2 linked regions of the Coturnix japonica genome follow. The protein of the gene in region 1 interacts with the protein of each later gene in a pairwise test. Links are inferred from orthologs where the notes say so. Each region holds a gene or a part of one and is shown in the gene's direction. Other genes may lie near its edges.

Region 1 (3,749 bases):
TATGGCACAGCATGTCCTCTCATGGCCGTGGCCACAGGAGATGGGAATTGATGGGACCCCAACCACATTTCATTGCCTCCTGGTGTTGCAGATTCCAGCCCACACCTCCCCCTGCTCGCAGCCTCCCCAATGCACCACTGCCTGCTGCTCTGCTGGCTCAGGAGCATGCAATGCACACATGGCCGTGCAATGCACAGACACACACACAGTGAGCATGCACTGCAGGTGGCAGCCTGGTCCTGCATGGGGCAAGTGCATGGAGCCAGGAGTTGGGTGAAATGTGATTTAGGGACTTTTGGAGCCACACTGTGCAATGAATGGCCTTCATCTCACCCAGGACATAACTCCGTCCCTTTGAATCCTGCTCTTGCTCTTTTAAAGTAGCTTTTAATTTCCTGAAGGGAGAGCTTTTAATTCATTTCTGGAGCATTGTAGGGGAAGAGGAGGGGAAAATGGCTCTGAAATCCACCACTAAGCTCCCCCAGCCCCGAGCCCTCCCTTCTCTCCTTCCCCCTCCAGCAGTGTCCCCACTCCCCATGTCCCTGTGCCCGGAGCTCCAGCTGACACCATGGCCATGGCATAGGGGTCCTATGGCACAGTGGGGTCCCACCACTGCCCCCCATCACTGCTCAGCATCACTCCCAGCAGTTTTGATGCCCAGGCCATGGGGTTGGCTGCAGCACAGTGAGGCTGTGCAGCCAGGCTGGACATCCAGGCAGAGGGGAGGGTTGGATGCTCACTGTTTCTTTCACCTCGTGCTGTGCAGGGAGGAACCCCAGGGCCCATCTCGGTCCTTATGGGGTTTCTTTGAGGCCAGAGCAGCGCTGATCTCTTGGCCTTCTAGGAGTCAGCAGATCAGATTTAACCCATAGCAGCGCTATTCCCCCATTCCCAGCCTTCTCAATACAGCGGCAGAACGTCTGCCCACAACACCCCAACCCCACAGAGCCTCATTATCCACAGACCGCCCGCGGGGCTCCATGTGACCCCCCCCCCCCCGTGCCCTCCCGTTTGATGCCGCAGACAGACGGCTCCCAGCGGGGGGGGACCGCGAGGGTCCCTTTGGGATCCCACGGACACCGCGACCCGCATCCCACGGGGGGCAGCACCCCACGACCCCAACCCCAACCACCCCAACATCCCCATCCCCTCCCCGGGTGATGCTGAGGCTGCCCGCCTCGCACCGCATCCCAGCCGGGTCCCTCCCTGCAGCCGCCGCCCTCCCTCTGCCCACGGCGGCGGGGACCGCAGCTTCGCTCGGAAGTGCGGCTCCGTGGCACCTCCCCGCGTGGAAACGCTTCCGCTCCCACCGGCGGCGGAGCTGCGAGCGGCCCCGGTGAGTGCGGGCGGCTTTGCGGGGCGGCTCCATCCTTTAGGGGGGGTCCTGAGGGTGGGATCAGCGCCGGTTCCCGCAGCCTCGATCCGTGCGAGCATCCCCATCCCTGCCCCGCACATCCCAACACGAGGCCTTCGGGAACGCCCGGCTGCGGGTCGGCCCCGCACTGCCCGTCCCCGTGCGGTGCGCGATGCGGGGCGGAGGGATGGGGGTCATCCCGCATCGCTACGGAGCTGTGGGGGCTCGGGGAGGTGCCGTGTAGGGCCGGGGGTTGGGCTCGGGGGTCTCCGTGGGCAGCTCCGGGTGTTCCTTGATTGCAGCGCTGCCCCATGGGACCCCCCGACCCACCGGGCTGATCCCTACGGGGCCGATCACGGGGATCCTTCACGTGGTTGTTGTGAGCGCTGGGAGCGCTCTCCGTGCTGATGCTCCGGAGATAAGCACGGTGTTCTCCCTTCCCTCTCTGTCCCATCCGCTCCTTTGGGCACCGCTTCGGGCACCAGCACACAGCAGGAAAGACCTGGGGCAAGGAGAGCCCTTCTGCCTCCATGTGCCGGGGCAAGTGATGGAGGAGGCTGACCCACATCCCCACCGCAGGGATACCCAAATCTCAGCACTACAAACTCCCTTATCCCTGCAAACCCGGGTCCCCCCTTTGATGCGGTGCCGCACTGTGGGCTCATCCCCACGTCTCCTTTGCAGGCAGCACCGCCGAGATGTTCGCCCTGTGCCCCCCCGACGCCCCATTCCCGGGGGTCCCCGCTTTGAGCTCAGCCTTTTCGGGGTCCTTACAACGCAGCCCCGACTCCAACTGCAACTTCGCAGGGGACGATGAGTGCGACAACAACCAGAACTGGAGCCGGGCTGACGGGGGGGGCAAAAACAACACTGCAAATCCCTCCGATAATCTGCTGCTGTTAGCACAGAGACAGATGGCTCCGGGCGGGATGGGGGACGTCGCTTCGAGCTCAGCGTGTGCCCCCCAGCAGGGCGAGCGCAGCCCCCCCGAGGGGGCGGAGGTCGGGGAGGGGGAGTTGGGTGGATCCCCGGCGGAGGATATCGGCTATGCCAGCAGCTCGCTCAGCATTGACAGCCCCGACAGCGCCTGCGGCAGCGCTTGGGATCCCCCCGGGGACCCCCCCGAGGTGTCCGAGCCCCCCCCGGAGCCCCTATTCCCGGCGCTGGCGGAGGCGGTGCAGCAGCTGCAGGAGAAGGAGCGCTTCAAGGAACGGGAGAAGGAGAAGCATCACGTTCAGCTGGTGATGTACCGCCGCCTGGCCCTGCTGCGCTGGATCCACGGCCTGCAGCAGAAGGTGCTGGAGCAGCAGGACCGACTGCAGGAGAGCTTCGATACCATCCTGGACAACCGCAAGGAGCTGATCCGCTGCATGCAGCACGGAGCGCCGTGCCCCGCTGCTGCCCCCAGCCCCTGAGCTGTGCGAGCATTCCACGCTCTGAATCCCGTTCTGCTTCCCCGCAGCTCTCCACCCAAATCAGGGCTGAGTGCTGGCTCTGATGGTGATGTTGGTGCACGGGGTTTGTGTCAGCCCCATGCTGGGCATTGTGGTGCTCACCCTATAGAGCCCATCCCATTAACCACAGAGCTTTAATGCCTTTCTCCTTTCACACCTGATGTGTGCACCCATTGCCCTGCAGTGCAATGTGCTGCTGTGCATTGGGGCACGGTGCCCTGGGTTGTCCCCAGGACTGACCACAGCCCATCAGACACAGCAGCAGAGAGGAGCTGCATTCATGCATTAAGTGCACAGAGAGAGAATCACTCTGAAAAGTGACCTCAGAATGCTCAGAAATACTCATAAAGCATCACCAGGCCCCAAACCCTGCGCTCTTATTTCACAGTTCAGTGTTAGGGAAGAGCTGGTTTTGATTTATTGCTATTTTTTTATTGACCAGGTCATATAGATGCACATCTGCATGCTGGGGGAGCTGTGTTAGCACCATGCATGGCCGCAGAGCTGCTCGCCAAGCTGTGCTCATTGCATTCTATTGTTGTCTTAAAGCAAAGATGCTGTTTGGGTTTTCTTTCCTCATGCCTGTTTTAACCAGCGGGGGCTGCATGGGAAGTATGAAGGACGGCCCTTCTTACATAGAGATTAAAAAGGAGACGCTGTGTTTGTGTGCTGTGCTTTCTCCAGTGCTGCTGTGACCATTGAAGCTGCTGCTGTGATGGGCATTGGGCTGTGCCTTGTCCCTGTGGGAGGCTGAGCACCGCTGGGTTACCCCCTTATTCCCTCTGCTCTCCTGCACCCATCGTGGGCTGCAGCCCCCATTGCCCAGCTCCGTGCTGATGGGATGGAGATAGGAGCACCTGAGCGCTGACCCCGGGGTGACTGTGCCTCGGGCCTCACAGAGATCAAGCAGAGATGAGAAAAAGCCCTTTGAACCTTCCTTC
Region 2 (3,649 bases), on another chromosome or scaffold:
ACTATAAGAAATTTTTTGCAAGGGAATGTTCCCCAACATGCAAGAGCCATATTCCAGGCTGGAGTTCTCCTAAGCCATTCCTAGAAGCTATTGCTTCAAAAATAGATGTGTGAGGAGCGTTGTTGGGGTTGTTTTTTTTCTTTTTTTTTTTTCTCTTTTCAAACAGGAGTCAGTCCTTGCTGAAGTCATGTGGGATGGGGTGAGTTTGGTGATTCACATCGTTCGCCCTGAATGGCTTGCTTGTTCTCCAGAATGTTTTTGCAAATTACTTTGTGGTATTGTCCTCCACATGGTTACTAACCAGAAGCATCTACTAGGAAATTCTGCTCAAAACATTCTGCTGTGTGTGGAGAGTAGTTCTTGTGGGAGTGGGAAGGGAAGGGTGTCTGAAATTGGGTAACAAGCTCACATTCCAATGCAGCTGTATAGAAGCAGTTATTATGGTTATAAATAGGCCCAAGTCTTCAGCTCGCTTGTAAACAAGCACTGCTATTGGAGAGCAACTCTTTAACTTCAGGTAGTGCTTACATGTAATTTCATTGATCACTAGTTTCAGTTTCTTAACAGCAGATTTTATTTTAGATTGTTTCACAGACGAGATTCAAATGGGGATGTTATCGCAGCTGGCTTCCTAGCACATAAGATCATACTGAAATTACAGGGGCAAAGTTGCAGATCTGCTGTGTTAGCAGTTAAAGACTTACCTTGCTCCCCAAGCATGCTGTTATTTTGGGGTATTGATGCTTCTTGTGAACTGTTTTCTGCCTCCCCAGTGATTGTTTAAAGGCTTTTGATACCGCTTGGCCCTCGAGGCTATGTTATATTTTCAGCATGCACTGATAAATAGAGGTCTGGTCTATTGTTTATCATGGGGTGAGAGGGGATGTGTTAGGCCTGTTCGGGTTTTGTTAAATGAACAAAGAATGCTTTCCAGTCAGGAAAGAGCAAACCTACTTTTCCGTTTCCTTCTAGCTCCTTCTCCCTTAAAATAAACTGTTCCATCAGTACCGCTGCCAGTTTACATGCAGTTTATTATAGCCTTCTCAAAAACAGGCTGTAAGGGATTTCACTAATTTCAACGGTAACCTCATCTACACTGTGCACAAATTTGCTTTCCTTTCTCTTTGGTGGTGAAAAATAGCATCCCTTAGGAAGACGGGGTTGCAGGAAGGATGCTTTACAGCACAGGCAGGAATCTAGGTCACGTTAGGGTTCTTTGATGAGTGACCTTCCTATGCCCTTCAGACTCATTTGTTGCTGTTCCTGGTCTGAACTTTTGCAGGGTTAAATGTACATTTATCAGTCAGTTCTTAGGGCTGCTGGGTCTAAGAGAGTAAGTTTCTAATTACAATGAGTTGCAGCTATTGGTAACTCCAACTGTTTTTTTAATTAATACTATGTTAACACATAGCTATGTCAGTAACATGCTCTTAAGCATTAGGAATCATACAGTGGTATAAAGCATAGCACAGTATCTTCATTCTGACTGTACAGCAACAAGTAGGATGACATGTTTTGGTTAATGGAATGAACAACCATTACAGTGTACACGTCAGGCACTAATTGATCTTAAACTGTTTTCAGCCCACTCTTAAGTTTTTTGGATCAAGTTGCTTAGAAATGCTGAAGAAACTTTAGTGCGTAGTTCCCTTCGATACTCAGATACCCACTTCTTGGAAGAGAAGGGGAAAAAATCTTGCTTCTGAAGCAAAGTTTGTACTTTTTCAGATGAAGAGAAGTGACTAACATTTTATATTATCTTTTCCCATCTCTTCCCTTGGATTTGCCCCATCCGTCTGTTTAAGTTAGCACAGTGCATCAGTTAGATCATAGACTGGCCTGAGATAGACAGCAAGTTGACTGTTGTTAGTATTATTTGCATATTTTTATAATCCTTCTTTCATTACGCCTGGGAGTGGGATTTTCAAAAGACATTGAGCCAGCCTAGGCTCAGAAACAGTAGATGTTCTTGTTACTTTTGAGCAATCAATTAGCACCGCTAGGAGGAAAACAGCATGCTTAGTTTGCCCTTCATCTGCTCTACTGCTTGTTCCCAGGGACACAACAGTGATCAGCCACTCACCTAACCCTAGCTATGACACCTCGCTGGAAGCTCGCATTCAGAAGGAGGAGGAAGAGATCCTGCTTGCCAACAGGAGGTGTCTGGACATGGAAGGAAGGTAAAATGCAGTTTGTCCCTATTTGACTACTTTAGGACAAGGATTTTAAATGAATTATTCAGGTAGATGCCTCAGAACCAGAAATTCACGTGTCTTCACCAGTCACAACAATGTAGAATGCCAGACATTTGTTTGACCAAGGAAGTAACTGCACAGCAATGCAAAACCTGTATTTCAATTTAGTGCCTAGCTTATTCCTCTCTTTTCAGGCCGTCTTCATCAGACCCCAAGTTCCAGTCACTTCTTTATTGTTTCACAGAGTTGTTTTTCCCCAGGGGAAATCGCAGGGATTTTTTGTTGCAGACTCCCCAGACTTTGTGAATATTCTTTTGTTGTTGTTTTTTTGGCCTCATGTCCCACCCATAACTCTCAGCTTTGCTTCAGAGCATCTTCCTTGCCTGTTTAGAGCAGCTTCCAGTAGCCAAAGGTGAGGGGGTGTCTCAGTGAAGTTTTGTATGTAGATGTACAGGAGGCCTCATACACTATGCCGTGTAGTGTCAGAGAACAGCCAGTATTCGAGGTGTCCTCTCCATGCCTACCTGAATGCCCAGGGGAGTTCTAGTCACAGCTGTGGGGTGCTGAGGCCTCAGTCCAAAGTGATGGAAGTTGAAGCATGTTGTTGTCCTTTGTCCTTTTCAAAAAGGATCAAGACTCTGCACGCTCAGATCATTGAGAAGGACGCCATGATCAAAGTCCTGCAGCAGCGCTCCCGGAAGGAGCCTGGTAAGACGGACCAGCTCTCCTCCATGAGGCCTGCCAAGTCACTGATGTCAATCTCAAATGCTGGCTCGGGCTTGCTGTCCCACTCATCCACGCTGAGCAGCACTCCCATCCTGGAAGAGAAGAGGGAGGACAAGAGCTGGAAAGGCAGCCTAGGTAATTTTTAAATAATGGTGGTGATTAAGATACACCAGTCTCTGCCTATAGGGGAGGCAGGAACAGCAGAAAGTAGATATCTGACAGACAGATTGACTGGCTTAGCATGCAGGAAAACTGCCTGCAAGCAGAATGGAACACACTTGCAGCAGCTGCTTGCTTTAATCATTTTTGGGGAAGCTGTGATATCCAAGCTCAGTCATGAAAATTGTTCAGCTTTAATTCCCACTTGGTTTGGTACCTGATAAAAGCAGTATTTGAGATCTGGTTTTCAGAGTTCCCAGGCACTTGCTTTCAGCTGGGCTGTTACAGCTGTCTGAGGGTGTAAAGTCTCCTTCAGCCAGCTGAGATACAGATCAGGATTGCCATCCTGTAGAGCTGTGCCTGCACTAACATGACTTTTGTCTGGAATGGCTCGGCACTATTGTTTGGAGAAAGGAAATTGTATCAAAGGGAATCTTAGATGATGTTTTTCTTTCTCTAAAGAAGTTGGACCCAGGAGTCTTCCCTGAGTTTCTGATAAGTAAATGAGAATCTCTTGCAGCTGATCTCAGGGTGTGCAGATTTATCCATCTGCAACTGAGCAACTGCTC

Evidence for each region.
Region 2: the proteins of C23H1orf216 (region 1) and AMOT interact in binary tests that used the Homo sapiens proteins (3 or more experiments, as listed by UniProt). The two-hybrid records come from large-scale screens. The link is inferred for Coturnix japonica from reciprocal best matches to the Homo sapiens genes C1orf216 and AMOT.

What each region holds. Positions count from the first base shown.
Region 1 is NC_029538.1:3,768,325-3,772,073, forward strand, and holds C23H1orf216 (UPF0500 protein C1orf216 homolog), read left to right. Parts: upstream 1-1,168; 5' UTR 1,169-1,336; intron 1,337-2,038; 5' UTR 2,039-2,052; coding exon 2,053-2,769; 3' UTR 2,770-3,469; downstream 3,470-3,749.
Region 2 is NC_029519.1:12,294,815-12,298,463, forward strand, and holds part of AMOT (angiomotin), read left to right. Parts: intron 1-2,057; coding exon 2,058-2,180; intron 2,181-2,823; coding exon 2,824-3,056; intron 3,057-3,649.